Linked DNA regions of Macaca fascicularis. The protein of the gene in region 3 interacts with the protein of the main gene of each other region in a biochemical or structural test. Links are inferred from orthologs where the notes say so. Each region holds a gene or a part of one and is shown on either strand. Other genes may lie near its edges. The genes, in order: RAB8A, RAB31 and OCRL.

Region 1 (11,653 bases), on a different chromosome or scaffold from region 3:
ACCAAAGAAGGGGAGGCAGAGGCAGAGGTGGCAGGGAGAAGAAACCAGTAAATAAAATAGGGACAGGGCCGGGCACAGTGGCTCATGCCTGTGATCCCAGCACTTTGGGGGGATCACTTGAAGTCAGGAGTTGGAGACCAGCCTGGCCAACATGGTGAACCCCCGTCTCTACTAAAAATACAAAAATTAGCTGGGCATTTGGTGGCGTGCACCTGTAGTCCCAGCTACTTGGGAGGCTACGGCATGAGAATTGCTTGAACTCAGGAGGCGGAGGTTGCAGTGAGCCGAGATCACATCACTGCACTCCGGCCTGGGTGGCAGAGTGAGACTCCGTCTCAAAAAAAAAAAAAAAGAAAAGAAAAAAAGAAAAAAAAAGGCCAGGTGCAGTGGCTCACGCCTGTAATCCTAGCACCGAGATAGGTGGATCACTTGAAGTCAGGAGTTCGAGACCAGCCTGGCCAACATGGTGAAACCATGTCTCTACTAAAACTACAAAAATCAGCCAGACGTGGTGGCGGGCACCTGTAATCCCAGCTACTCAGGAGGCTGAGACAGGAGAATTGCTTGAACCCGGGAGGCAGAGGTTGCAGTGAGCCGAGATTGCGCCACTGCACTCCAGCCTGGGCAACAAGAGTGAAACTCCATCTCAAAAAAAAAAAAAAAAAATGGTATAGGGCCAGGCATGGTGGCTCATACCTGTGATCCCAGCTTTTTGGGAGGTGGAGGCTGGAGGATCGCTTGAGCCCAGGAGTTTGAGACCAGCCTGAGCAACATAGGGAGACCCCATTTCTACAAAAAATTAAAAAATTAGCCAGCCATGGTAGCATGCAGATGTAGTCCCAGCTACTTGGGAGGCTGAGGTGAGAGGATGGCTTGAGCCCAGGAATTCCAGACCAGCCTGGGTAACATAGCAAGACCCCATCTCTACAAAAAATAAACAAAAATTAGCCATGCGTGGTGGTGCATGCCAGTGGTTCCTGCTACTCTGGAGGCTGAGGTGGGAGAATCACTTGAGCCTGGGAGGCGGAGGTTGCAGTGAATGAAATCACACCATCACTCTCCAGCCTGGGTCACAGAACAAGACCCTGTCTCAAAAATAAGTAAATAAAATGAGGATAATACCAAGAAAAAAGAATATTCAGAGGTGGTCAAGAATATTAAATACCACAGAGGCTGAGGCATGTAAAGTGGTCAGTGTCTCTGGTTGAAGCTTTTCTTAACCAGAGCTAGATTAGCAGAAGAATGAGCTGAAGTGGAAGGGAGGAGGAAAAGCTGGACCCTCCTTCCACAGATTAAGTGAGCCTCAAGGCCCCGGAGGCCCCAGAGTGACCTAAAACAGACTGGACCATCTCTAAGAAGCAGCGAGCCCTAGTGATCAAACTGCAGCCTGGGAAGCTTGGCATTCTGAGTTCAGATACCAAATTCCCACTTTTAAGCGGGAAGGGGGAAAAAGTCATTTAACCTCCTGGCTTCAGTTTTCTGACCATCAAACAAGAAAAAACCAATAACATCATTTTGCTGGGCTGGTACTGGGATTAAAATTTTAAGAGTCAGGGGCCAGGCAGGGGGGCTAACGCTTGTAATCCCAGTACTTTGGGAGGTGGAGGCAGGCAGATCACGAGGTCAGGAGTTCGAGACCAGCCTGGCCAACACAGTGAAATCCCATCTCTACCAAAAATACAAAAAAATACACCACGCCAGGCGCGGTGGCGGGTGCCTAGAATCCAAGCTACTTGGGAGGTTGAGGCAGGAGAATCGCCTGAACCCGGGAGGCAGAGGTTGCAGTGAGCCGAGATCGCGCCATTGCACTCCAGCCCTGGCGATCATGGGAGACTCCATCTCAAAAAAAAAAAAATGTCAGGGTCTTGCTCCGTCGCCCAGGCTAGAGTGCAATGGTGCGATCACAGCTCACTGCTGCCTTGACCTCCTAGGCTCAAGGGATCCTCCCACCTTAGCCTCCTGAGTAGCTGGGACTACAAGCATATACCACCATACCCGGATAATTTAAAAAAAATTTTTTTTTGTTTTTTTGAGACGGAGCCTTGCTCTGTCACCCACACTGGAATGCAGTGACATAATCTCGGCTCACTACAACCTCTGCCTCCCGGATTCAAGCGATTCTTGTGCCTCAGCCGCTGGAGTAGCTGGGACTACAGGTGTGCACGACCACATCCACCTAGTTTCTGAATTTTTAGTAGAGACGGTGTTTCACCATGTTGGCCAGGCTGGTCTCGAACTCCTGACCTCAAGTGATCTGCCCACCTTGGCCTCCCAAAGTGCTGGGATTACAGGTGTGAACCCCCTCGACTGGCCAAAAAACTTTTTTTTTTTTTTTTGCAGAGATGGGGGTCTTGCTATGTTTAGCCCAGGCTGGTCTCCACCTCCTGGCCTCCAGTGAACCTCCACCTCAGCCTCCCAAAGTGCTGGGATTACAAGCGTGCTAATCACGCCCAGCTAATTTTATTTGTTGTAGAGATGGGGGTCTCCCTATATTGTCCAGGCTGGTCTCGACCTCCTGAGCTCAAACAATCCTCCTGCCTCAGCCTCCCAAAGTGCTGGGATTACAGGCCTGAGCAACCACACCCAGCTGCAAGCCCGATTTTCCTAATGTATCTCTCCTCTTTTTCTTTTCTTTTTCTTTTTCATTTTTTTGAGACGGAGTTTTGTTCTGTTGCCCAGGCTGGAGTGCAGTGGCACGATCTTGGCTCACTGAAAGCTCCGCCTCCCGGGTTCACGCCATTCTCCTGCCTCAGCCTTCCGAGTAGCTGGGACTACAGGTACCCGCCACTACACCCGGCTTTTTTGTATTTTTAGTAGAGATGGGATTTCACCGTTAGCCAGGATGGTCTCGATCTCCTGACCTCGTGATCCGACCGCCTTGGCCTCCCAAAGTGCTGAGATTACAGGCGTGAGCCACCGCGCCCGGCCTTTTTCTTTTTTTGAGAGGCTTCTCGCTCTGTCGTCCATGCTGGAGTGCAGTGGGACGATCACCGCTTACTGCAGCCTCAAACTCCTGGCCTCCCAAAGCACTGGGATCACAGGTGGCAGCCACAGCCCCGGCCTGTTTTTTCAGTGTTGAGAGTCCTGGCCCCTAGATAGGAACAAGCATCCTCACTGTTCTAAAGCATCCTCACTGTTCTAAACCCCCCGGGCTGGCCCGGACAACTCCTAAAGCGGCCGAGGGCGGACCCTGAGGAGGCCGGCGCGCGCTTCGGGGCACAGCTTGTGGCGGTGAAGCCGCTCAGGTGGCGGAGGCCTTGGGTATCTGTAAGCAGGTCGCTAGGCCGCAGACCTCGGAACTCGTCTTGAGTCACTTTTATTTATTTATTTATTTTTGAGATGGAGTCTTGCTCTGTCGCCCAGGCTTGAGTGCAAAGGCGCGATCTCGGCTCACTGCAACCTCCGCCTCCCAGATTCAAGCAATTCTCTGCCTCAGCCTCCCAAGTAGCTGGGATTACAGGCGCCCACCACCACGCCCGGCTAATTTTTGTATTTTTAGTAGAAATGGGGTTTCACCATCTTGGCCAGGCTGGTCTTGAACTCCTGACCTCGTGATCCACGCGCCTAGGCCTCCCAAAGTTCTGGGATTTCAGCCACCGCGCCCGGCCCGGGTCACTTTTCGAGTATACAGTGTCTCCTCTCTCCTTCCTCCGTCGGCCCCCGCTGCCCCGACTCGGAGGCCGCAGATCAGGTTGAGAGCGCTACCATGGTTTCCCGCGCTCGCCTCGGGGCCTATTGCGCCTGCGCGAGTTGTGACGGCGGGACCCAGAGATACCCGCCCCAAGTACAGGATTGCGCCCTCTGCCGTCGCCTAACGGAACTCCGGGCGCGCGTGAGCACGCACCCCAAGCCCCGCCCCCCAGGCTGCCGGCGCGCGAGCCGTTGGCGACGCTCCCTGCGTTCCCTCTCCTGTAGTGGGGCGGGGCCGGGCCGCCCGAGTAGGGGGTGGAAGGCGGGGGCCACATAATGCCACGCCCCCGCCTCGTCCCCATTTGAAGCCCCACGACTCTTCACTGCTGGTCAATCAGAGCCCGTCCTCTCCCTAGTGCCGGCCAATGGGAGGTGCGCTCGGGCTGCTTCCGGCTCCGCGCTCCATTCGCCCCCTCCCCAGGTCTCCCCGCGACTGGCGGGACGCAGGGGCGGGCGTCGGCCGCGGTGACGCGCAGCGGGCCTGGAGCCAATAAGGGGCGGGCTCGGCGCTGATGGACGGTGCTGGTGGCCAGTGGAGAGGCGCTGGCCGCACTTCCCGTCGGGGAGAGAGTGTAATATGGCGAAGACCTACGATTACCTGTTCAAGCTGCTGCTGATCGGGGACTCGGGGGTGGGGAAGACCTGTGTCCTGTTCCGCTTCTCCGAGGACGCCTTCAACTCCACTTTTATCTCCACCATAGGTAGCGGGACCGGGGAGTGGCTGGGGGCGCCAGAGGCCCGGGCTGGGCGCGCCCCTGAGGGGCTGGGGCTGAGGGATCTACCGGGCTGGACTGGCCGAGGGCGCTGAGAGGGTCGAGGGGGCCTAAGGGGAGAAGAGCAGTCGCCTGTACCGCCGTTCGGGGGTTCCTGGGCCGTGGTGGGGGAGACCAGGTGCCCATTTTGCAGATGGGGAGACTGAGGCTCCGACCCTCAGCCCGCTCGTTAGGGAGTGTTATGTCCTGGGCTGGGGTCTTCGCGCCCGTCCTCTCGATCTGTCCTAGCAGCAGCCCTCAAAGCGGTTCTTTTGAGGCTCCTGCCTTACAGAAGTGGAAACTGAGTCATGGGGAATTGGCCATGGGAAAAAGACGGTAACATCTCACCTTAATGAGCATTTACTATGTGCCAAGTGCTTCCCGTGCATTTTCACACTCTCCAGTTCTCGGTGTTAAGTGCTGTTTTGAGCCCGTCTCACAGATGAGGAATTTGAGGCTCAGGGTGGGCCTGGAACTTGCCCAAGGCCACACAGTCTGCAGGTGGTGAGAATGGGATTTGATGGAATTTGAACCTGGCTGTGTCTCAACCCAAAACTCGAGGCTTAGCTATCCTAGAGAGATGCCACCTCACACTCCCAGCTGATGACAAGCTCAGCTAATGCACCTTGGAGCCGGAACTGTAACCCACACCATTCCTGCTCTTTTCTCTGGAGCATTCAGAAGTTGAACCCCTCTCCCTGACCATTCTTCCCCTCATAAGTGTATTTTCCTCTAGAAGGAATGATAAGAGGAGTCAGGACCTTTTCCCTGCCCACATTTCATCCTGCTCCAGGATGACAATAATGACAAGTGACAGCACTGCCTGCCCTGGAACCTGTCATCTGCAAGAAGATGCAAGATAAAAGCCTCAGCGAGCAACTAAATCAGCCACTGCCACAGACAGCCTTGACTTCCCTATCAAAGGGCCCAAGACTCCGGTTGTCACTTTAGAACAGCTTTTCCCGTAGGGCCAGCCCACATTGTGGTTGAACAGAATTGGCTTGGTGCATCTCAGTTGTGCCGTCTGCAGAAGTGGAACTGACCTCTCTCAGTGCCACAAAAGCAGTCCTGGCCCACAATGAAAAGGTTAGACCGGGGAGTAACACCAGTCTGAGTGGCCTGGGAGCTCTGTAGCCCTGCTAGGGATGGGGAAAATGGGGGAACGGTCACTAAGGAGTTTATTCCAAGTCACGAAAACGTAGGGAATGGCCTTTGCTTTACTGTGTCACTTCAACAGAATCATGTTTTCTCCCTGAACCCCACGATAATGTGCTGATTCCATTCTTGCCCCCCTCCAGGAGCTGTGCTTTTTTTATTTTATTTTATTTTATTCTATTTTATTTTATTTTATTTTATTTTATTTTTTGAGATGGAGTCTAGCTGTTTTGCCCAGGCTGGAATCCAGTGGTGCTATCTCGGGTCACTGCAACCTCCGCCTCTCGGGTTTAAGCAATTCTCCTGCCTCAGCCTCTCTAGTAGCTGGGACTATAGGCACCCGCCACCACGTCCAGCTAATTTTTGTATTTTTAGTAAATATGAGTTTCACTATGTTGGTCAGGCTGGTCTCAAACTCATGACCTTGTGATCCACCTACCTTGGCCTCCCGAAGTGCTGGGATTACAAGCATAAGCCACTGCACCCAGGATAGCTGTGCTTTATAAAACAGTTATATGCCTGATGTAAAGTAGAGAGAACTGACTGGAAATCGTTACGTCTGGTTTCCAATTGCTGTTTGCCCTTGAACATACACTGCCCCTCTCTGAGCCCTGCTGTCTTTAGAGCAGGAGTGACGCTGTCTCCTGGGCTAGTGCCCTGGTGGTTGAGGATTAGAATTAGACAATAAGGGGTTATCACCGTAACCAGAGGCCATCTCGAAGAAGCAAATGAATGAATGGCTCCTGCAGTGACAGCATCCAGCCTCTGAAGACAGATGGTTCTGAATTCTTCCCCCTCCCCAACTCCAAGGCCAAACTTTAGGGTAACTCTTGTGCCCCAACCGATCAAGAAGTGGCGTTAATTCAGCCTGGGCAACATAGCAAAACCCCATCTCTATAAAAAATAAAATAAAATTAGCCGGGCATACTGGCTTACCCGTATAGACCCAGCCACTTGGGAGGCCAAGATGGGAGGATTGATTGAGCCCAGGAGGTCAAGGTGCAGTGAGCTGTGATGGCGCCACTGCACTCCAGCCTGGGCAACAGAGCGAGACCCTATCTTAAAAGAAAGAAAGAAAGAAATTATGTTAACTGTGGGCAGACTGTGGCTTGCCTTCACTCAGATCCCAGTTTCCCGGCCTCAGCACCTTCCCCACAAACCCCCCCTCTTTTTTTTTGAGATGGAGTCTCGCTCTGTCACCCAGTCTGGAGTGCAGTGGCATAATCTCGGCTCGCTACAACCTCCGCCTCCCAGGTTCCAGCAATTCTCCTGTTTCAGCCTCCTGAGTACCTGGGATTACAAGTGCCCACCACCATGCCCAGCTAATTTTTGTATTTTTTTTTTTTTTTTAGTAGAGACAGGGTTTCACCACGTTGGCCAGGCTGGTCTCGAACTCCTGACCTCATGATCCGCCCACCTTGGCCTCCCAAAGTGCTGGCATTACAAGCATGAGCCACTGCGCCCAGCCCAGACCCCCCCTCTTTAGAGTTACTTTGAGCTTTAAAGAGGCTGTCTTCCATTTGCAGATGAGGATGTGACTTGGTGAAAGTTACCTAGCAAGGTGAAGGTGGCACCTGACCCCAGGATCCCTCCCTCTCACCCCTTCATTCCCCTCCTTCCATTTGTAGCCTTCTGTCTTCTAGGAATTTCTTTTTTTTTTTTTTTTTTTTGAGACGGAGTCTCTGCCGCCCGGGCTGGAGTGCAGTGGCCGGATCTCAGCTCACTGCAAGCTCCGCCTCCCGGGTTCACGCCATTCTCCTGCCTCAGCCTCCCAAGTAGTTGGGACTACAGGTGCCCGCCACCTCGCCCGGCTAGTTTTTTGTATTTTTTAGTAGAGACGGGGTTTCACTGTGTTAGCCAGGATGGTCTCGATCTCCTGACCTCGTGATCTGCCCGTCTCGGCCTCCCAAAGTGCTGGGATTACAGGCTTGAGCCACCGCGCCCGGCCTCTTCTAGGAATTTCTAATTCACCATGACCTTGAAGTTCAGGCCTCATAATTCTTAGGCCTCATAAAGTTTACACTTCGTAATTAAATTTGGCATGTTAATAAAACCCAGAGGAGTGTAGGGCGGAGTGCTGCTGTGGAACTTGGCCAGCCTAGCAGTGCTCCTCGATTTTGTGTGTCCCTGTACACGCGTGACAGGAAGTGGGGAATGTTTTAGGAAGCCTAGGCACACTGGGCTGTCTAGTCCTGAAGCAGAATCACCTTGATGCTTAAAGGTGATTCCATAAATTAGCCAGACGTGGTGGCGCTTGCCTGTATTCCCAGGTACTCGGGAGACTGAGGCAGGAGAATCGCTTGAATCCAGGAGGCAGAGGTTGCAGTGAGCCAAGATCGTGCCACTGCACTCCAGCCTGGGCAACAGAGCAAAACTCTGTCTCCAAAAAAAAAAAAAAAAAAAGGTGATTCTATATTGGCTGCGGGCACCTCTGGGTTTTTCTTTATAGACGAAGATTGAGTGGCTGTTCATTTTCTGCCACTCAATCCTTAACATTTTGCCAAAAGTTCCATTTCATCAAAGCCTATTCTCAGAAGTCCCATCGATTATTTCTGGTGTGAACTTGGCCCTGTAGTTCCCTGGAATGGGTTCTCACCAGACTGGCTCGGCGCCACTGCCTCCTCAGGAGTCCATTCATTCCTCCAGTGAGAGGGTTGACATTTGAGAAAGTGCTTTGTGAACCACTCAACACCACGTAGACCCTGTTGCGCTTTAATTCTTTGATCCAGCCATATTTTGCCAGTGCCTTCTGTGGGCCAGGCAGCCGCTTTGGCACGAGGGCTGCAGAGAGGACACAAGTGAGTTAAGGTGCCTGCAGGACTGGGGTACCAGCTTCTAGCAAATGCATATTCAGCCTCTGTGTGTTCAGTCACTGGAGGTAATAGCAGCGGATGAGACTTGTCAGATACCTGCCCCCAGGGAGCTTACGTTTGAGACGGCGAAATTCCAGTGCTGAAGCTGACTGGACAGAATTAGCATTCCCAACCTGGGTTCAGAGAGGCCCAGCCAGGCCTGGGCCTCGAGTCTTCTCCGGCAGGGATTTGACCAAACCCCTGGTGGCAAAGGCTGGGTCTGGCTGTTTCTCTCATCCACATGGGCCAGTATGATCTGCAAGCATTATGCCCAGGTCCATGCAGGAGATACATAAATGTATGTCAGCTATGTTAACAAATAGGTAAAGGGAGAACGGATGAGGATGGTCAGGAAGGCTCCCCTGCGGAGGGAACTTGAATGGGAACCTGAACGAAGGGATAGCCAGGTAGCTACAGAAGGAAAGAACTTTCCAGGGCAGGAAAGAGCAAACATCAAAGCCCCCAGACAGGAGCGTGCTTGGAATGTTGAGGGAAATCGCTGTGTGGATGGTGTGGCCGGAGCGAGCAGGTCATGAGCCAGAGTGCTGAGAGGTGACCAGATTAGGCAGGACCTCGACACACACGGGTACCTGTTTCCACTTTATTCAAGGGAAGTGGGGCAGGGAAACCACTGAAAGATGCCTTAAAAAAAAAAAAAAAAAAAAAAAACCCCGCTTTATGAGGTAGAATTCGCATACTAACATACAGTTCACCCATTTGCAGTGTACAATTCAGTGGCTTTAGATCCATTCACAGAGTTCCACAACCATCACCACAGGCAATTTGGGAACATTTTTATTATGCCAAAAAGACACCAACCCAAGGCCAGACACGCACGGTGTCACAGTGGCTCACACCTGTAATCCCAGTACTTTGGAAGGCCAAGGTGGGCAGATCACGAGATCAAGAGATCGAGAACAGCCTGGCCAACATGGTGAAACCCTGTCTCTACTAAAAATAGAAAAATTAGCTGGGCATGGTGGCTCATGCCTGTAGTCCCAGCTACTTGGGAGGCTGAGGCAGGAGAATCACTTGAACCCGGGAGACATAGGTTGCAGTGAGCCGAGATCGCATCACTGCACGTCAGCCTGGTGACAGAGAAACTCCGTTTCAAAAAATAAAAAATAAAATAAAGACACCAACCCTTCCAATTTCCCCATGTTCCCCCAGCCCCAGACAACTGCTAATCAGCTTTCTGTTCCTATGGATGAGCCTATTCTGGACATGTCTGTTAATGGAATCTCATACTAAGTGACCTTTAGTGTCTGGCTTCTCTCAGCATCCTATCTTCAAGGCTCATCCACATTGTGTAGCATCGAGAGTACTCCGTTCCTTTTTATGACTGAGTCGTATTCCGTTGTATGGTTGGACCACATTTTGTTCATCCATTCATCTGTTGGTGGACACACTAGAAAGTTTGGAGCAGAGGGCCGGGTGCGGTGGCTGATGCCTGTAATCCCAGCACTTTGGGAGGCCGAGGCAGGCGAATCATTTGAGGTCAGGAGTTCGAGACCAGCCTGGCCAACACGGTGAAACCCCATCTCTACTAAAAATTCAAAACTTGGCCGGGCATTGTGGTGGGCACCTGTAGTCCCAGCTACTCGGGAGGCTGAGGCAGGAGAATCACTTGAACCCGGAAGACGGAGGCTGCAGTGAGCCGAGATCGTGCCACTGCACTCTGGCCTGGGTGACAGAGCGAGACTCCGTCTCAAAAAAAAGAAGAAAGAAAGAAAGTTTGGAGCAGAGGTTAGCTGTGTAACGTGGTTAGGGCTGTATTTTTGAAGGCTAGGGAGGGGACTGAGGGGGAACAGTGGGAGCCTGGGGAACATCAAGGTGGCTGCAAGGTCACCATGGGGAAAGGGGATGAAAGCAGGAGGTGAGAGACAAGGAGGATGGGGTCAGGAAGGCTTGTTAGGAGGTGATCTTCAAGGAGGCCTTAAAGGAGGGGAATTTTGCCCAGGTGATGGGCAGGTGGGACACAGACCACCTGCAGAAAAGGAACAGCGTGTACAAAAGCTGGGGGCAAGAGAGAAACTGACCATGTGCATGGACGCATCGTGGGACCCAAGGCCCTGTGTGCTTGGGGGTCAGCTGCAGGGTGGTGGGGAGCGAGGGACTCAGGCCTGCAGAGGGCTCTGCTGAGACCCACTCTGTACAACTGCCTGGGCCAGGGAGGCGGGGTCAGCTGGCAGCAAGGGACAAGAGCAAGGCTTTGCCACCCATGCCCCCTGGGTTTGCTCTGCACTGCTCCCATCGGCCCTTGGAGAGGGGAAGTATCTCCAAGTGTTTCCAAATCTGGATATTCCGACATCCTGCATGCCCAGTGCCAGGCAGGGTCTCCATAAGCCACGACAACTGTCACGTGCACAGGTTGGTGGCGCCCAGCTCAGACACAGCTTGGGAAATGGGCTGACAGTGATGCGCCTTTTTTCCTTTTCTTTCAGGAATTGACTTTAAAATTAGGACCATAGAGCTCGATGGCAAGAGAATTAAACTGCAGATATGGTAAGAGTCATTGTTCTCTGTCATTCTCTCCACCTGGCAATGGCTTCAAGCCAGAAGCCCTTGGCGTTCTCCCTCTGCCCTCCCTGTGACCTTGGCCTCTGTCTCTTGGTGCCCAGTCCTGGCACATGGGGCTTTCTCCAGAAGCTCCTGGAGTTTTATACTCAGCCCAGAGAGCTGTGCTCTGCTGGCTGCAGGGCGCCAGGGCCTATAGCATCATAGGCACAGAGCTGCCCAGCCCCGGCTAGCTCAGTGTTCTGCCATGGGCACCATCTGGGTCTGAGCTTCAGAGCGGGCTGCTTCTGTTGAACAGGGAGAGAGCCCTCTCGGTGCCAGGTGCTGGTGACGCCTGCAGGGACTGCGAGATGCCCCAGCTGACAGTTTCCTTTTCAGCCTCCTAACCCACTCAGAAGCATAAAGGTCCAACTTCACTTCCTCTTTTCTCTCCTGGGGCAGGCCTGGCCTCCCTTCCTAGCATACAGACCGAAACCCCGAACCGAAATTAAGCCAAGTCCGGGCCCCCTGGTGAGACGTGTTTCCATTCCTGAGAACTAAGGGTGACTTCCCGTGCACATACAATTAGAGAAGTGGGGAGACTCCAAGTCGCCCTTGCTGGCCTGACTAGTTTGCTGAGACTGAGTTCAGGTGGCGGGTATGGTGGGGTCCTGCCCTGCACACATGCCACTTGCATAGAGTCACTGG
Region 2 (9,122 bases), on a different chromosome or scaffold from region 3:
ATATTGGCCAGGCTGGTCTCAAACTCCTGACTTCAGGTGATCCTGCTTGCCTCAGCCTCCCAAGTATTGGGATTACAGGCGTGAGCCACCACACTCGGCCCCTCCAGGATACTTTTTAATTTAAAAAAAAATGCAGATTAAGACTGGACCCTTCTCCAAAATACATATGAAGTGCATGCATTCTGAGACTAATGAGCTCCCCTGTCTGGGGATGAACGATGCTAGTGACCAGCGGCACTTGCTTTGTTAACATTTTGGAATGGAGCTCCTCTGCTGTCTTGTCATTTGTGGACCTTAGGTAGGTGAGGAAGCCCCACGTTGGAGAGGTGGCAGCCCTCCAGACCCGAAGCAGCTGCTGCCAAAGCTGCCCTTGCTGATTGGTCTTCATTAACGGCTCAGCAAGGGTCCTGTGATCTTTGCTAGTGTTCCCTTTCCCTCTCCTTGCCATACTTCTTTCCTTTACTGCTACATAATTCTAATGAGATTGCCCTGGGTCGGTCAGTCATATTGGAGAAATGATGAGCAGCAGAGAAAAGAACATTCACAAGATGGTAACATTTAAAATAAAATTTGTTTTTGGCTTTTACCCAAGAGTAGATTTCATGGTCAGTAAGCCACAAGTATATATATGTGTTGATGAGGAGGAAAATGTCTTATTTAATATGAACCCTGGGGCTAGGCGTAGTGGCTCACACCTGTAATTACCAGCACTTTGGGAGGCCGAGGCAGGTGGATCACCTGAGGTCAGGAGTTTGAGACCAGCCTGGCCAGCATGGTGAAACTCTGTCTCTAATAAAAATAGAAAAATGATCCAGATGTGGTGGCGCATGCCTGTAATCCTGGCTACTCCGGAGGTCAAGGCACAAGAATCGCTTGAACCCAGGAGGTGGAGGTTGCAGTGAGCCAAGATTATGCCATTGCACTCTAGTCTGAGTGACAAGAGTGAAACTCCATCTCAAAAAAATAAAATAAAATAAAGAATAACATGAACCCTGGAAAAATTAGATGGGGAAGGAATTTAGGGATCCTATAGGGATGATGTAGGATAAAACTTTTATGTTTAATTTGGGATTGAATAAAGTCTGTTCACTTTGGCCTAAAACTGTTCATTGTTCTTAAACAGTTTCATTCATTGGCTCCCATGTACTATCGAGGCTCAGCTGCAGCTGTTATCGTGTATGATATTACCAAGCAGGTAAGACTGTCTCCTTCAGAATTTAGATGTCATTTATGGTGGTTCTCTCTCTTAGAGAGACTGAAGCAAAGACGTCACTGCTTGCGTCTTCCCAGTAGCGTGCCACTATATATTGAGTTTATTTCGTGTATATGTAACAAAGCATCCCATATTTATCTGCTAAATTAAACAACAATGACCATTCATTCTTAAAATTGACTGTAGAGGCAAAGTCATGCCTGCTAGTACTATTCTGCAGAATGTCAGCTTTTAAAGAAAAGGAAAATCGTTTTTAATTTCTGCATGCTTTATAATTACAGAATACTTATTTTTATTAGTGTTTCAATCATACTACTTACTTAAAATGCCAAGCATAACATTTGTGTGCGTGTAAGTAAATCTTTGTGTGTTTGTGTACATATTATATATTTTTAGTTATAATGTTGAAGGTTTTATACTTCCATCAACAAATAACTGCAGTAGTTTGATGACATTTTTTCCCACTCCTGCAAATTGAATTATTTGCTTTTTTTCTCTGGAGTGTTGACTCAGCACATAAGACCATCAGTTTAATGACCCATCACTGTTACCTTCCACGAGTTCCTGACCACTTCTACCTAAATGTGGTGTGTTGCCTTTGACCTGTTTTCTAGAGGACAATTGTGAGTGAAGGGCCAACAGGAAGACAGGACTCTAGAGATATATGATTCTTTCTTGGTGTAAGCATGAGCATTTACTTAGTCCTGTTATTCTTATTCATGCGGAGTCCAGGCAATCATTTTAAGTTAACATTATTTATAGGAGAAAAATCACTGATATGATTTTCTTAACTAGATCAAGTTTTAATTTTAGAAAACTTTACATGGTCTATTAAAGTGTATTTCAGCTAACATTAACTTTTGTGCCTAGACAGAGGTAGTATGTTAATCTGCATGAGTCTCCTAAAAATATTTTTCTCCATTAAATTGTACTGGGCTTGTATTTCTGCTTGGTTGAAATATTATATTGAGGGGTTTTTCTAATGATTTGTGTATACTGTTGGTTTAGGATTCATTTTATACCTTGAAGAAATGGGTCAAGGAGCTGAAAGAACATGGTCCGGAAAACATTGTAATGGCCATCGCTGGAAACAAGTGCGACCTCTCAGATATTAGGTAAGACGCATTTTAATATCTTTTGTGTAGATATTTTTTTTTTTTTTTTTTTTTTGAGACAGAGTCTCACACTGTTGCCCAGGCTGGAGTGCAGTGGCACGATCTCGGCTCACTGCAAGCTCCACCTCCTGGGTTCACACCATTCTCCTGCCTCAGCCTCCTGAGTAGCTAGGACTACAGGCGCCCGCCACCGCGCCCGGCTAATTTTTTGTATTTTTAGTAGAGACGGGGTTTCACTGTGGTCTCGATCTCCTGACCTTGTGATCCGCCCGCCTCGGCCTCCCAAAGTGCTGGGATTACAGGCTTGAGCCACCGCGCCCGGCCCTTTTGTGTAGATATTATCCTCCATCCCTGAATGTCATCCCTGAGTGTACAAAGGTATCATGCCTTTGTTATGTCTGCCCTCAGTGTAATAGTTAATGGCCTTTCACTTGTGGTAGTCAACGTGTCATTGATTCAACCAGAGAAGAAATAAGGGAAAATGATAGGGAAATGCAAATCTGTTGTACCATACAATGATAAATGTTAAAATTATAATTCCTGTACATAACACAGTTACATCCCTGACTCTACATATCTTTGGGCTAAACGGTTTTATTATTTCTATTGTTACTTTTTCCATTTTTATTATCATTATGACTACTAGCACAATTTTAGTAACACTATGGTAATGGTCATCCCTATCGTAATGACCATTAGAATTCTTAAAATTTTTCATGGCATACCTGTTTGTTTTAGTTCTAGATTTTACCTTAAGAATATAGTCAAGTACGTAATCTCACTATTTTGTTCTTAAATCAGAATATGACACATTGTATGTGAGTACCTTGACTTCCCCCAGTGGTACTGGGTTATTGAACTTCCCGTATCTGAAAGGAGGTTGTGGGGATCCAGTACACATGAATTAGAGATTTGATGATAGCTTTGCCTAGCCTGGTAAGCTAGCTATTTTACTAAATAAATACATTATTTAAAAAAGGAAATAGTGAATTTGTGGTATCTCCATTCTCTCGGTTAATTTAATTCTCAGGAATTCTAGTAGCTGATTTTTATAAAGACAACTACATCATACTTCTGGTTTTGCTGATCAAAATGTGATTAAACCAAAGCGAAATAAATAGTCGATGGAAATGGATCTTGCAAAAGCTCTTAACATAGCATTTAACAAATTGTTCTGTTTCTTTGGGATTTCAAAAGTTTGTATCACCTTGCATCTGGTTGGTTTATAATAACAGCCATAAACACCACTTAATCGTTTATTTTTCTGGGATTTGGACAGATCTTCAGACTTCCCAGACTTAGTTCAGATATCCACCTCCTTTACTGTAAACCTCAAACAGCTTGCTTGTCTAGTGTTCCCAGCAGAATCACCTTAACCTTGGTCATGGGAAGGATGAGGTGGGTGTGTAGAGACAACCTTTGCTGAGAGAAGGTGCTATCTCTAAAACCCCCTAATTATGGGACTAATGTGCACCTTTGAGTGGAACCAAGTTTTGTGTATCGTGGGAATGCTGATGGACTAGAATTTAAGCAGAGAACGATTTAAACTTGCATAGTATCAGTTAGGATTCTTGGTTACGTGGATCCAAAACACAATTGAAATTCAGGAGAAAGGGGAATTATTGGAAGGTACTGTTATCCACATGGTAAAAACAGAACTGCCCTCAGCTCTGGCATTTGACATGTTCCAGAGTTAGTCTCTGGAGAGATGCTGGCCTGGCATTGTCTTCATTTCCAGTCTAAAATGCCAGGGAGGAACTCCCCACGTTAAGAACAGGCGTGTGTGGCCAGGAGGGGATTGGTAGTACGAGATGGTATTTCCCAACATTACTATGAGAATGGGAAGGCAGGTGGTCTTGAAGAGGGATAGCTCCTAGAAAAGTGTAGCCTGGCCAGACAAAACTTATCTGTGACATATAGATGTGGCTACCAGCACTCAAGGATACGCTGTGTTTCGGGGTGGAATTCACCTTTTATGCACAGGTACAGCATTCTTCTTGATGAGCGTTCTGATTTGTGCTCAGCTGATTCTTATATGTGCAATTTTCAATGTGCCCCAGCTAACATAATCTATTCATCTCACTTCCAACTGTGAATTAACTTACAGCCTCTCTATCCCAGTGGGAGAAAATGCAGGGCCATCCAGCTGCTACCTGTAGTGGTGGTGTCATGGGGCCACTGTCCCATGCATCCAGCCTCCTTGGTAATATCTTTTCTCCTCTTGTCTGGCCTCAGTGAGGTCTGAATGTGGCTCCTTGAGATCCTGTAGTTGTGTTTTAAAGTGTGGCATGTATATCTTTTGTTATACACAGTTATTTTAGATGGTACGCGTTATTGAATCAGGCAACAAGAAGCTGACTGCCTTTAAAACTCTGATTAGGTCAGTGAGAAAGACTAGTTGGACACTAATTCATTGTAAATTTTTAGACATTTAATATGTTGTATTGAGGTAAATTACAAAACATCACGATCACCTGTTTTAAGTGTACCGTTCAATGACTGTTAGTGTATTTTTAGAGTTGTACAATCATCTCATATCTAATTTTAGAACATTTCCGTCACTCTGTGAAGAACGTCATGCCCATTTATACTCACTCTCAATTTCCAACTCCTTCCAGTCCTGGTAATCACTAATCTACCTTTTTGTTCCCCTAAATTTGCTTTTTCTGGACATTTTGCATAAATGGAATCATACAATATGTGGTCTTTTGTGACCACCTTCTTTCAGTTAAGCATGTGTCAGTGATGCATTCATTTTTATGACTGAATGGTATTTCATTGTATGGATATACCACATTTTATTTATTCATTTACACATTAACATTTGAATTGCTTCTACCTTTTTGCTATTATGAAAAATGTTTCTATGAACAATCATGTACAAATTTTGTGTGGATGTATGTTGTCATCTCTCTAGGCTATGTACCTAGGAGTGGCATTTCTGTGTCATATGATAACTCTTTTTAATAATTTTAGGAACTCATAAACTGTTTTCCAAAGTAACTGCAAGATATCCATATCCTCACCAACATTTATTGCCTTTTTGATTATAGGCATCCCAGGGGGTGTGAGATTGTGTCATTGTGGTTTTCCTAATGACTAATAATGTTATAGTAAATATCTTTTCATATGTTTATTGGCCATTTGTATATCTTCTTTGGAGAAATGTCTCTTCAAGTCCTTTGCCTAATTTTTAGTTGGATTGTCTTTTTATTATTGAGTTGTAAGGGTTCTTTATGTACTCTGAATAAAAGTCTCTTATCAAACATATAATTTGCAAATATTTCCTCTCATTCTGTGGATTGTCTTTTCACAATTTTTACTGTGTGCAAAAGTTTATGTCCAGCTTATCATGTTTTTCTTTTATCTCTTGTTCACAAGTGATTGGCTAAATGGACATCACAAATATTTATTCATGTTTTCTTAGTGCTTACATTTAGGTCTGTCATCCATGTTGAGTTACTTTTTGTATGTAATGTAAGATAGGGGTCCAAATTAATCTTTTTCCATGTGGATATCTAATTACCCCCACACCAGTTGTTGAAGAGATAGTTTCTCTCCCATTGAATCTTTTGGGGTACTTTTGTCTAAAACTAGTCAACCACGAATGTGGTCTTATTTTTTATCCTCTTAACTTTATTAGTTGATCTACACATCTGTCCTGACACTAGTGTTATACTATTTTGATTGCTGTAGCTTTGTAGTAAGTTTGAAATTAAAAATTGTGAGTCCTTCAACTTTGTTCTCTTTTTCAAGATTGTTTGACTATTCTGGACCCTTAACATTTTCATATGAATTTTAGGATCTATTTCTTAATTTCTGAGAAACAAAAGGGAACTTTGATTTTAATAGAAATTATGTTGAGTCTTTAGACCAATTCAAGTGTTAATCCCATCTTAACAATTTTAAGTCTTCCCATCCATCAATGTGAAATGTCTTTTCATTTTATTACGTCTTCTTTAATTTCTTTTAGCAACGTTTTATAGCTTTCAGTTTACAAGTCTTGCATTTGTTTTATTTATTCTTAAGTATTTGATATTTTTTGATGGTATTGTGAATGGGATTGTTTTCTTATTTATGGCATTGCTTTTGGTTAGTGTGTAGAAATACAATTGACTTTTGTATGTTTATCTTGTATCCTATAACTTTCCTGAACTCGTTTATTAATTTTAGTTGTTTTTTAGTAAATTATCTGGAGTTATCTATATATGAGATTATATTATCTGGGAATAAAGACTATTTTACTTCTTTCTTTCCGATATGGGTGCCTTTTAGTTCTTTTTCTTGACCAATTTCTCTGGCTGGAATCTCTAAAACAATCTGGAGTAAAAGTAATGAGAGTGCACATTCTTGTTTCTTCCTGATCTTAGGGATAAAGCATTTAGTCTTTCTCCAGTAAGTATCACACTACCTGGTTTTACATATATCCTTTTTATTCTGTTGAAGAAGTTTCCTTCTGTTCCTAGTTTGTTGAAGGTTTTTTGTCATGATCGAATGTTGGATTTTTTCCAAAACAATTTTTGCATATGTAATTACATGTTAATTGATTTTTGGATGTTAAACTAGTCTTGCATTCCTGGGATAAATCACACTTGGTCATGATGCATAATCCTTTTTATACATTGCTGGGTTTAGTTTGCTAGTGTTTTGTTAAGGATTTTTATGTCTATATTCTTAAAGGATATTAGTCTGTAGTTTCCATTTCTTACAATATCTTTGTCTAGCATTGGTATCAGGGCAATAACAGTCCTATAGAATGAGTTGGTAAGAGTTCCCACCTCCTCTGTTTTCTAGAAGAGTTTGTGAAGGATTGATGTCATTTCTTTTTGTTTCTCTACATCAACCTGGTCTCCATGATGTCAATTCTTTTTTTAAATTTTATATTAGATTTATTTTTTGAAAGATAAGCATTGTGTTTTAAAACACATGACAATACTATATGATAACATGTAAAAAATTAAATGGTTCCTTAATATCAACTATACAGTGTTAAAATGCACTTTGTTTGAATCCGGAAAAATGGAGTCTATACGTTGCAATGAATGGCAGTTACATGTCAATCTTTTAGTCCATGGGTTACCCCTACCCTGCCTTTTTTCCCTTTGAAATTGATTTGTTGAATAAACAGATTCATCTCTCCTACACAGCTTTATGAAGTCTGAATTTTCCTTGTTGTTTCCTAACGGTGTTATTTAACTTTTTCCCCTATGCCCTTTAAATAAATTGTTAGATTTAGACTTGGTCAGAGTCTAACTGTTGGTAATCTATTAAGTGATTATGGTTAGCAAAATGGTGACATTCAAATTCTGTCTTTCCTTCTTCATTTGTTGCATGCAGTGCATCCATAGAGAAACTTCCTCAAATCAACTACAATATTTAATTATACTGAGGTACAGTGTATATGAAAGAGTATGAAAGGGAAGGAAAATGTTTGATATATTCTGTATTTAGAAGGTTTTAAAGTAATGAAATGATTCTATAATACCCTCCCAAATGACCAATTAGGTTTTTTGTTTCATTTTAAAACTCATTAATTTAAACAAACTTTATATCTTTAAATTGCAGGTATTATTTTACTAATGCACAAATTGTCTAGTTTGTATGATGTCAATTCTTTAAGTGTTATCTAATTTGCTGTGTAGTTCATAGTATTCTCTTATAATCTTTTTTTCTTAATCCCACGACCATTTAAATAATCCTTCTAATTTGTGTAAGGTCAGTAGTGATGTCTCCTTTTCCATTCCTAATTTTAGAAGTTTGAAACTTCTCTCTTTTTTTCTCATTCAGTCTAGCCAATAGTTTGTCAGTTTTGTTGACCTTTTCAAAGAACCAGTGGTTTTTAGTTATTTCTTTTCATTGTTTTTCTCTTTCATTTCTTTATCCTCTAATTGTTATTTCCTTCCTCCTGTTTGCTTCAGATTTGCTTTGTTCCTCTTTTTCTAGTTCGCTAAGGAGAAAGGTTAGCATATTTATTTGAGATCTTTTTGAATGTAGGCATTTATAGTTATAAATTTTCCTGTAAGCACTGCTCTAGCTGCATCTCATAGGTTTTGATATGTTGTTTTTAACTAATCTTAAAATATTTTCTAATTTGTGTTCTAACCCGTTATTTATTTAATAGCATATTGTTTAATCTCCACATATTTGTGCAATTCCCAAATTTTGACTTTTCATCATTTCTAATTTAATTCCATTGTAATCTGAAACATACTTTGTATGATTTTAATTATTTTACATTTACTGAGGCTTGTTTTATGGCTTAGTATATGGTGTGTCCTGGGGAATGTTCCAAGTGAGCCTGATGCCACTAAGTTTTTAACACCTATTTTTATACTTGCTATTCTCCCTTAGAGAGAGAAAAATCTAAGATTGAGGGCCCTCTGCAGACAACTGTCTCTAACTAGAGTTTAATTATATTTTGTCCTTATCATATTTATTTTTAGGATTACATTCTCTTTATGATAGTTGACACTAGTGTTGCGTTTATGACAGTGATATAAAATTTATTTTAAAATATTAAAAAAGTTGATTTGTGCACATGACACGATTATCTACACAGAAAAGCCCAAAGAATATACCAAAAAAGTTCTAAAAATACTAAGTGGGTTCAGCAAAGTTGTGGGATACAAAAGCAACATGGAAAAATCAATCCGATTTCTATATATTAATACTAACAATAAATATGCAGAAACTGAAATTTAAAACACGGTATTCTTTACAATTGCTCCAAAGAAAATGAAATACTTAGGCATATATTTAACAAAACATATATAGGAGCTGTATGCTGAAAAGTA
Region 3 (10,914 bases):
ACAATTAAGTGAAGCATTTAGGAAAGGACATCCTTTAACTGTGGGACTCGCTATCAAGTGCCTTCTGACCAGGGGTGTCCCCACTGAGAAGAAATGGAAAATCTTAAGAGATGAAGATCACATTGTACCTGCATGACCAGAATTTGAAGGACTTTAAGTTATACACCAAAATCTCTATTCTGAGACCCCTTTGATTCTCATCCTTTTCCATCTATTAGGAGAAATCCCTTCTGCAAATGGTTCCTTTGGATGAAGGTGCCAGTGAGAGACCCCTTCAGGTCCCCAAGGAGATCTGGCTTCTAGTAGATCACCTATTCAAATATGCCTGTCACCAGGTAAGTGAGAGTAGACCTTCCCTACAACTTTGGAAGGTGTGTAAATACTATAGGAAATCATAACACCTCGCATCAGCATAGCGCTTTTAACTTTCCCAAGCTACCTGCACACAGTGGCACTGTCAGATCAACTGGGTGGGTGGAAGTGTCCCTGGTCACAGATGTCACAGCTGAAGCATGCAAAGCTAAGTTATTTACTAAGACCAAGGCCTAAGTGTAGTCGTGGCAGAGCCAGGACCAAATTAAGAGCACCTGTCTCCTGGCTACTCTCTCGTTTTCCCTGGACAGCTGCACACCTGAGTCTATAATGCCTACTTTGGCTATGAGTCATGTAGGCATTAGAGATTTTTAAATCTAAAGCAGATTTTAAACCCATTTTTTAACTTGGTCCTAGTTTTTCTTTTAAATCCTATCTAAAATGCCACCCCAACTCATTCACCCCCAAAAGAGACATTTCTTGGGACTAAATTGAAAGGTAATGTTCTCTTACCTACTGAAGAATAATGTAACTTGAAAGCAAGGTTTAGTATGAGCATGCAATTTCCTCCTTCCCCAGCGTTCAGTAGTACTAGCATTTGAATGTGGTTATTCTGTTTGGACTCTGCCTTCTGCTCCTTGTCAAGAGGCTGCAAGTAGGCCAGGCACGGTGGCTCATGCCTGTAATCCCAGCATTTTGGGAGGCCAAGACAGGCACATTGCTTGAGCTCAGGAGTTCGAGACTAGCCTGGGCAACATGGTGAAACCCCATCTCTATTAAAAAAAAATTTAAAAAGAGGCTAGAATTAGAACACCTGGTTTCTTGCTCTAGCCATCTGGTCCCCTGCCTTATCAGGTGTAGGCTAAAACCTTTGGAAAGAACATTTTCTTATTTGAAATAACATTTCACATGGATTAGAGAAATGCTAAAGGAAAAATGTGCTATTTTCACACCTCCATTTGTAATTATTAACACACATACCACCCTTCCCTTTTGCTTCCTGCTGCTCTTCTGATCCTTGGGTAATCATCATAACCTCAGGAGTGATTATCTTGCCTGTTCCCTTCATTCTGACTTCTTTGGTAGGAGGACCTGTTCCAGACCCCTGGAATGCAGGAAGAACTCCAGCAGATCATTGATTGTCTGGATACCAGCATTCCTGAGACAATCCGTATCCTTTGCGACCAAAGCATAAGAAGCTGGATGAGTGCTTGGTCAAACTCTTCTTCGCACCTCTATTTGCTTTTTGTGGTTCTATATTTATTTTCTTTGTAATGTCTTTTATTGTAGGATAACCACTGACTATCCACTTGTTTCTCATTTCCTTTTATGAACTTTTGACCTCTTTCCATATCCAGCTCTTACTAAAAGGAAGCAAGGGGTAGATAACAATGACTTAAAAAGCATGGGACATAGAAGCCACAACGCTGGTACTATTCTCCTTCAGGTGATCAGTCACTCCTGCCACCACACGTACTGTTGACAGGGCAGGGAGAAGGATGGGAAACATGGGCAACTGGTTTATAGGACTGCTTCAGTGTCAACTGTCACTCTGCAGGCTATATTCCCCTGACCCTGAAGCTGGGCCAAAGCTGCCAAGAGTCTTTGACCAATTCTGTAACAACTCAGCTGCAGGGCACTTGAATCAATAAAATATCAAGCCCCCATTAGGATCAGTGTGCCCCAAATAAGAGGAAGGAAACAGTCCCTGCAGGAGCTTGAGGAAAGGAGCCCGTCGGGGCTCTGTGTGGCCTTTCTCCTGGAGCCCCTTTCCCTTGACTTAAGTTGATTCAGCTGGCAGCAACCACTCTGTGGCTGAAGCACTGCTCATTTTCTTGGAAGCCCTGCCAGAGCCAGTCATCTGTTACGAGCTGTATCAGCGATGTCTTGACTCTGCTCATGATCCCCGGATCTGCCGACAGGTGGGTTCCACTGACCTGAGGATGTGTTTGACGCAGGTTCCCCCATAGAGAAGTCATCAGTTTTACAGAGCCAGATAGGCAGCCAGCTGTCTGGTAGGATGGGTCTGGATCTGTTATTAGTGGCAGGACACGAACATTGAGGGTTGCTACCCTTAAATTTTAGGTTGTGTTATTTCCTATGATATTTGCCACCTTTTCCCCATTGGCCTATTTCTGTTTACAGAAAACAGTGGGGTGGATCCCTCTACTCTAGGGTAAATTGGTGAAGCTGATTGTACATGGAATTCTGGCTGACATTACCAGGAAGGATGGGTGACACTTGGGAGCCTTTCTTCTTTTTCTCTTCTTGGTGTGTGTTTTTAATCCTGAAATGATTTTAATGCACAGTAACTGAGAGTACCTGTGAATTGGACTAGTGAGTATTGGGAGGAGTCCCCATCCATGTTAAGTGACATTGTAAAGAAAACCATTCAGCTTGGTAGGTGCCGTGGCTACATGCCTGCGGAAATGGGAAAAGAGCAGATGAACACCGACCTATTGTGAGGCGGGGTGTGCGTGTGAATGTGTGATGACCATGTGGCCTGGTCATTGAGTGGACGGGGACCAAACAGCACGGCCGTTCTTACTTTGAAGTTATAATTTGGAAGGTGTTGTGTTGGCCATGAGGAGATAATAGAAGTTGATAGATGAAACGGGTCCTGCAAGAGTTGGATTATAGACTACTATTAATGGCAGCTGTAAGTTCCTCTTACTTTCATCTTCCACCTGTTTTTCTCACTGCCTACCCCTATTTTTAAAAACAGGTGATCTCCCAGCTTCCGAGATGCCATAGAAATGTTTTCCGTTACTTGATGGCATTCCTTCGAGAACTCTTAAAATTCTCTGAATACAATAGCGTCAATGCCAACATGATCGGTAAGAGTGCTTCATGCAGCATGGGGCATTTGTTGAGAATACTCTTCATGCATTGTATCCAGTATATACCTTACTGCGTGTGCAGGCACATGGCAGTCAACAGTCATTGTCCCCAGGCCCTCCTGCCCTGAGGTTTTGCTTAGGTTATGTCTGACAAAAGTTTCCGCTTGTCTTTCTGTCGTCTTCTAGCTACTCTCTTCACTAGTCTTCTCCTGAGGCCTCCACCCAACCTTATGGCAAGACAGACTCCAAGTGACCGCCAGCGTGCTATTCAGTTCCTTCTGGGCTTTCTGCTTGGGAGCGAAGAAGACTAAGGCTTTTACTATTCTCTGATATTCTAGAAGCAGACGATCTCGGGCTCCAAGTATTTCAGAATGATTTTAAAAGTCATGCCACAGGAAGGGTCTATTGCAGAATTTCAAGTTCTGTTTATAGTAAAAAGGAAGAGTGTTTCCTAATCCCTCCTTTACCATATCCTCCACAGCAAAATACTTTTAGACTTATATTGCCAAGCCAAAGTTACCATATTTTGGTGTTTTTGTGTTTTCTCTTTATAAGGCAAAAAGATCTGTATTTACACTCCTTTACCTAGGGATGTGTTTGTTGCCCTCCTATCCAATTGTCATGATTGTCCTTAGTACCCTAGGCCTAGATTCTGAGATGTTCCCATTCTAGGCCTACAAGCACTACTTGCTGTAGCTGAGACTTGTCTAGAGTCCTTTGTATAATGCACTTTTGACCCACCCCTTCCCGGATCACTCCTTTGCACTCCACTCCCCTCGTTCTGTCACTTTGAACGAAGTCTGAGTGAGGCTAGTGACTCCTTGGGTGTCCTCAACAGTGAGTTCACTGTCTGCGTGCAGTTATTACATGCATTTGTGCATTTCTACTACAATGGCATCTTCATGTCTCTGTAACATTGGCCTTTTCATGGCTCCGCACTGGGTGGAACCATATTCTCTTAGATCACATTTAGTAGCATAACTTTAGGGACTATTAGAGATGGCATCCCATCGATGTGAGAGAATCACAATCAGAATGGAAGCACTTTGAGTATCTGAAGAGTGAGAGCATTCGTGTTTGACAGGTCCTGCTTCCCACTATCCTTTTCCTGTTGTTACTCAAATTTTACAGAAAGACTAATCCTGGGTGTCTCTGAGACCCATCTCCTGCCTAGACATCCACCTCCAGAGCAACACTGGCCCCACAGTAAAAGAGGGAGTCTTGTACCTCAGGCAGGCCCATCTAGAGCTATTGATCCTTCCCACAGCAAAGGTATTGCGGATGACCCTTAGAATCCGTTTTCTGGTCTTCTGAAGTACCAAGGGCAGGTGTTACCTCCTTCCTCAGCGGGACTGACTCTGTGCTCTACAACCAGCTCCTGCACGTAAAGGGTTTAGAGGCTCCCCTTGGCTCCCAGACCATATCCAGTGTTGTGTAAAGAGATTGGCCAATAGGACCAACCAAGCACCTTACCTCTCCCATCCAAGATGACCCTCTGAGCTTTTCATTTATTCAAACTCTGTGATACAGCCTTTTTTAAAAAAATTAATCTATATTGGTTGATGAGCCACCAACCACTGACTGCAAAACTGCCTGATGCAATTGGTTTCCTCCTGGTTTTCTTTTGTTACAACCACCCTTGCCTGTTTACGTTAATTGCAAGGAACATAACGTACAGGCTCTATGTACGATCCTGGGCATTGACTCCATGACATTTCTAGCATATCCAAGGCACCACCAGTGATTTCCCCCATTTCTTGAAAAAAAAAAAAAAAAAGTACGTATTTTGCAATACGGCTAAACGCTTTCCTGATTGAGAGTTAAAGCAGTAGGAGTCAAGTTACTGGTGCGACAGAGCTGGAGGTATGATAGGTCAGGGGCTGGGTGTTGAACTTAGTTAATGGAAGACTGAGAGCAGAACAGGTTTGTCATCTCCGCAAGGCCAGAAAGTGACCACAAAAAGAGGCAGATAATAGACACTGGGGTAGGATCATACCCTAGGGAAATACCTTTCCTGGGCTTGTTTTCTAGCATATCATTGACCTGGGATCTTTGGGTGATCAAGGGTGTGGTTAGTGGAGGCTCTGTGCTGCACGTATGCAGTATCCTATCTCTTTCTACATCAGGTCAAAACACTAAGTTGGTGTACTGCCTCGACCTTTTTACACCTCATCCTGGAACATATACAGGGTTGAGAATTTTAGACAATCTCTAGGTAGAGGAGACAAGACGTAGACCCAGACGGAAGAAATCTGCTTCCCTACCATGCCTATTGCAACACCCCACCTGTAATTCCCAAGTCCTCTAAGGTACTAATTTGTAGCTGCTCTGAAGTAATGATTTCAGATTCAACTGGTAGGGAAAGACTCTGCACCTGCTGTCTTAGGGAAGAAATGGTTTAAATCCATGTGGTGACATTGCGTTAGTCTCCCTTTCACTGTTTTCTTATTCTATAATTGTTTGTTAGATTTCCCAAAAAGTCTTGATCACTAAGCAAAGCTGCTAGTGGGATTCTATATTTCGTGTCATCTTTTTTATTATAATTTATTGCAAATTTTTTTCTGAATAAATATATGTTGTGTGAAAAAGCAAAGTGTGATTTTGGTGAGGAAGCACTCAGGAGGGAGGGCTTATGTGTCACTGGGTTCCATTCGACTTGACTGCAGTCCCCATCAGCTGTGCCTGTACTGTCATTACCTGTCTTACAGGGAAATACCATTTATAAGAATTCTTGGTATATTCACCCTCAGAGATGAGAAGAAACCATGCATTTTCAGAGGCTAATAAAGGCGTCCTATACTTTCAGAGGCCAGCCAAGTACCCTTATTTTAACCCTAAGGATTCAGGCAACAAAACAACTGAATTAGAGGAAAGGACGTTGACTCTTAATGCATGTAAATGTCACACTAGGTCAGATCTGTGATCCCTCCAGCCCCAGAAACCTGACAAACCCTAAGATGCACATCTGGGGAGAACCCAGTTACCCCTGCTCACATAGTCTCAAGATGTGCCTCCCCAGAGAGCCTGTTTTAACATAATCTTATTTTGCAGCTTTTGAAAACCAGTTTTGAACTTTTATGACTTATTGGGGTGATCAAGTCCATAAATTTAGTACTTTTTTGTTGTTCTCATCTGAACTGTCTAACATGTTGGGAGGAAACCCCTGATTTGAGCATGGTGCCAGTCTCCATTATGAATTGGTGGATTCTGATTCCATTCCCTTTGAGGCTGAAGAAGCCACAGCTGGAGGTTTCTTCTCTACTAAGGCCCTCTTCCAATTCCCTCCAGCTGTGAGCTTGACCCTGCTTAATGTGCTGACTCAGTGTTGTCATAAACAACTTTTGAAGCCCCACCCAAAGCCTTGGCAGGAGAAGGTGTTTCTTTCTGAGAGTGATTTTCCCCCCAGCAGATGGACACTGACACCAGAAGTTTTTACATAGCAGCAGGCAATGTGAATAGCAGGCATGGTGGTCTATCTTTCCAGAGGTTAGAGAGGAAATGGCATCCCCAGCTGCTAGGCTTCTGTTATAGGAGACCCAGTAGGGCCTTTCTGATTGCAGTGCAAGTTGAAGAACTGGCTCTTGGTGTAGCCTCATAATGTAAAAGCCACACATTACAACAGTGGCATCACTAAATGTTAGGGAGAGAACCTTAGTGATGACCTAATCTGATCTCATTGTTTGGATAGGGAAAGTCTCAGAGGGGACAATGACTGACCTAAGATTACTTAGGTTAGTGACACTGCATGGCATAGTGGCATTTTTTTTTTTTCAAACAGTTCTACTCTGCTTGCCCATTAATTCCTTTGGTGGCATCTTATCAATTTCCGTGGCTGTAAATATCTGTAATACCCTGATTCCAAATGTTACGTTTCCACCTCATAGCTCTCTTCCGAGTTCCTGCCCAGTATATCCAGTTAGTTAGCTGGCATCTCCCCTCACATGTATCACAGGCATGTCAAGCTTCACATTTCCAAAGTAGAATTATTTTACTTCTGGTTCTTTTACTACCACCCAACTTAGATCCTCTAGCTGTCTCCCCTCAGCTCAGAGAATGTCACCACCATCTGGCCAGTTGCTAGGGCTAAGCATCTAGGAGCTAGCCTTGATTTCTCTGTTTCCTACTGACTGACCACGTCAGCAGCGTGCCCCACACATCTACTTTTCATCACCCCCACTGCCGATTTTATTGGTCAAGGCCACCACCATTACGAGGGTGTTGTAATGGCTTCCTGCCTGGTCTTCTTTTTCTCTTTTTTTTTTTTTTTTTTTTTTTTAAGAGAGGGTCTTACTCTGTTGCCTCGGCTGGAGTGCAGTGGCATGATCGGCTCACTTGAGCAGCCTGACTTCCCAGGTTCAAGCGATCCTCCCACCTCAGCCTCCGAGTAGCTGGGACTATAGGTGCACATTACCAAGCCTGGCTAATTAAAAAAAAAATTGTAGAGGTGGGTTCTCCCTGTGTTCCCCAGGCTGGTCTCAAACTCCTGGGCTCAAGCAGTCCTCCCACTTTGGCTTCACAAAGTGCTGGAATTAGAGGCATGAGCCACCATGCCCTGCCTGGTCTTCCTTTTAGCTTTTCTGCCCTCCAATCCATTCTCCACGCAGCAGGCAGCATGACTTAATTACATCAGTCTCATCCCTTCCCTGTGGATAACCCTTCAGTGACATTTACAATGAAACCTAAGCTTCCCTGTGGCCCACCAGGCCCTGCATCAGTGGGTCTCAAATACTCATGTGCAGAAGAATCACCTGGAGACATTGTTAAAAAGCAGATTCCTAGACTCCAGAAACTCTGAGTAAGTTGGTCTGAGATAAGGCACAGAGTCTGCATTCTAAATCAGGACCCAAGAGCATTTTGATGCAGGGGTGCTTGGACCACACTTTGAGGAATACCACCCTAAAGGATCTGACCTCTGCCTACCATAAGCCTTCCTCACCCCTGCCACTATACTCTGATACTGTCCTTTTACCCCTCCCGGTGAGCTGAACTCTTTCTAACCTCAGGGCCTTTGCATGTGCTGTTTACCCAGAAAACTCCTTCCTCTCTCTCTCTTGCCTCAGTCCCCATCTTTGCTGTGCCTAACCATAAGTCACCCACCCTGTCCCATTGACTCTCTGCCCTCATTCCTGGGCTTTCTGGTACAACGTTCTGGCTGACTGCCCCTGGACTTGCCATGTACTCTTCCACAATCTTCCTCTTCCTCTCTTGATGACCTCACGTACCTGTTCCACGGGGCCTAGGGAGGCAGAAAACTATAGTGGTTCTTCACATAGGCTCCAATGACCAGACTGCCTGAGTTCAAATCCCAGCTCTGCCACTTCCTAGATATGTGACCCTGATCAAAAGTTAATTGACGTTTCTGTGCCTTGGTTTCCATGTCTTTTCTCCCCAGCTTTATTGGGTATAATTGAGAAGAAAAATTGTATGTATTGAAGGTGTATCCACATCTTAAAAGTAATGATAGCACCTTTCCTCGTAGTATCATCATGAGGATGAGATCAGTTATACATTTCCAGGCCTTGGAACAGTGCCTGGTGCCTAAGTGCTAAATAAATGGCAGCTAGTGGAGTTATTCCCAAGCCCTCCATTGACTTCCAGGCCCAGAACCCACTTCTGCTGCCCTTCAGCTCCCAGCAGATGACTGTACCCTTTGCTTTGTGAAAATGTCGAAACAGTCTTGCCCCCTGCACATCAAAATGTCTCCAGCTTAACTTCATCTCTCCCTCTTTCCATCTGTCTGAGAAATAAGCGGTCTTCCTCGCCAAGACCAGCTCCTCCACCTGCACTTTTGAGCCCTTCTCCTCCACCCTCTCTGGACTTTTCCCCCTCAACCATCACCCCTCCTCTTACATCTCAGTATGGGTTATTCATTTAACAAGTATTTGTTGAGTGGCTCCTGTGTGCCCCATGCTGTTCAAGGTGCTGAGGATCTAGAAGTAAACCAGATAAGGTTGCCGCTCTCATGGTGCCTTCATCAAGAGGGCAGGGCAGGGCAGGGATGAGGGTGGACAGATATGCAAATTAACAGTACCCAAGGTCACTACAGATCCTGACAAGTACTGTGGAGAGTATCAAACAGGGGGATGCACTTGAGGGTACAGCGGGGGGCCTTGGTCAGGAAAAGTTGCTTTGAGGAGGTGATGTTTTAGCTGAGACTTAAACCTCAGGAAGCCAAGGCACCATATCTTGATTTGAATACCCACAAAAAGAGCCACACGTGCAAGATCTGGCAAAAGACATTCGGAGCAAAGGAAAAGACAAATGCAAAGGCCCTGAGGCAGCAAAACAGCTGGCTGTGCTCAGGGGACAGCCAGGCAGAACTCCGTGAGGAACAGGACTTGCTGGACAACAGGCGAGCAGGAACGTGGTCACAGAGGGCCTGAGGAACCTCGGGCAGGAGCTTGCATTTCATTCGACACCACAGGAGGCCATGGCTGCCTTTACTCAGGGAAGCGACGTGACTTCTGTATGCTCCTTCTCCTAACTTTAGAAAGAGTAATAATAACTAATAACCCTAGCTGTCATTTATCCCAGGTACTAATACATTTAATATCACTTTAGCCTTTACAATAGGCTGATAAAGTACTACATTATCCCACCTTTTTATTTTATTTTATTTTATTTTTGAGACAGAGTCTAGCTCTGTCACCCAGGCTGGAGTGCAGTAGCGTAATCTTGGCTCACTGCAACCTCCGCCTCCCGGGTTCAAGCGATTCTCCTGCCTCAGCCTCCCGAGTAGCTGGGATTACAGGCATGTGCCACCACGTCTGGCTAAGTTTTATATTTTTAGTAGTGACAGGGCCCGGCTAAGTTTTGTATTTTTAGTAGTGACAGGGTGTCACCATCTTGGCCAGGCTGGTCTTGAACTCCTGACCTTGTGATCCACCCGTCTTGGCCTCCCAAAGTGCTGGGATTACAGGTATGAGCCACCGTGCCCGGCCATTATCCCACTTTTATGGGTGAGAAAACAGACTCAGAGAGATGGCGTAACTTGGTACTTAGCTAGTGGCTGACCAGAAAATGACTTCGGAGCCCAGATTTGTGCTCTTAAACACAGCCACTGTCTCCCCAGCTGGACTGGGCATGAAGGTGAGGGCGCTCCTTAAAACCCCTATCCCTTCTAGCTACATCCCAAGATTTCATGTCAGCTAGATTGCCTGCTGGCAGGTCAAATTCAACTTTTCTTTGACCCTGACCAGCTTCTCCTGGCATCCTCCTCTCTCCCATCACCCAGGCCTAAGCTTTTGGTTATTTTTGGCCCCTGCCCCACTTTCTAATCAGTTACCAATTGCAATTCAACAAATATTTATCCAGCACCTGCCAAGTGCAGGCTACCATGCAAGGTTCTGAAGGAAACCAAAATGGGTGAGACTGGTCGTTACAAGACAAGACAGACATAATATTTTTGTTTGCTTTGTTTTGTTTTATTTGAGACAGAGTCTCACTCTGTTGCCCAGGCTAGAGTGCAGTGGCACGATCTTGGCTCACTGCAACCTCCACCTCCTGGGTTCAAGCGATTCTCCTGCCTCAGCCTCCCTAGTAGCTGGGACTACAGGCGCGTGCCACCACACCCAGCTAATTTATTTGTATTTTTATTTTTAGTAGAGATGGGGTTTCACCATGTTGGCCAGGCTGGTCTTGAACTCCTGACCTCAGGTGATCAGCCTGCTTTGGCCTCCCAAAGTGTTGGGATTACAGGCGTGAGTCACCGCACCTGGCCAATATTTTTTTAAAAGAAGGAAAAAAAGGGAAAGATGGACGA

What was found.
Region 1: the proteins of OCRL (region 3) and RAB8A form a complex in vitro, tested with the Homo sapiens proteins (2 studies listed by BioGRID and IntAct, with this or other methods). The link is inferred for Macaca fascicularis from reciprocal best matches to the Homo sapiens genes OCRL and RAB8A.
Region 2: the proteins of OCRL (region 3) and RAB31 form a complex in vitro, tested with the Homo sapiens proteins (2 studies listed by BioGRID and IntAct, with this or other methods). The link is inferred for Macaca fascicularis from reciprocal best matches to the Homo sapiens genes OCRL and RAB31.

What each region holds. Positions count from the first base shown.
Region 1 is NC_088393.1:16,423,522-16,435,174, forward strand, and holds the start of RAB8A (ras-related protein Rab-8A), read left to right. Parts: upstream 1-4,248; 5' UTR 4,249-4,267; coding exon 4,268-4,391; intron 4,392-10,893; coding exon 10,894-10,954; intron 10,955-11,653. UniProt on the Homo sapiens protein: The small GTPases Rab are key regulators of intracellular membrane trafficking, from the formation of transport vesicles to their fusion with membranes.
Region 2 is NC_088392.1:78,163,312-78,172,433, forward strand, and holds part of RAB31 (ras-related protein Rab-31), read left to right. Parts: intron 1-1,123; coding exon 1,124-1,195; intron 1,196-2,221; coding exon 2,222-2,328; intron 2,329-9,122. UniProt on the Homo sapiens protein: The small GTPases Rab are key regulators of intracellular membrane trafficking, from the formation of transport vesicles to their fusion with membranes.
Region 3 is NC_088395.1:135,858,670-135,869,583, forward strand, and holds the end of OCRL (inositol polyphosphate 5-phosphatase OCRL), read left to right. Parts: intron 1-218; coding exon 219-335; intron 336-1,398; coding exon 1,399-1,483; intron 1,484-2,106; coding exon 2,107-2,234; intron 2,235-3,037; coding exon 3,038-3,149; intron 3,150-3,338; coding exon 3,339-3,463; 3' UTR 3,464-5,740; downstream 5,741-10,914. UniProt on the Homo sapiens protein: Catalyzes the hydrolysis of the 5-position phosphate of phosphatidylinositol 4,5-bisphosphate (PtdIns(4,5)P2) and phosphatidylinositol-3,4,5-bisphosphate (PtdIns(3,4,5)P3), with the greatest catalytic activity towards PtdIns(4,5)P2.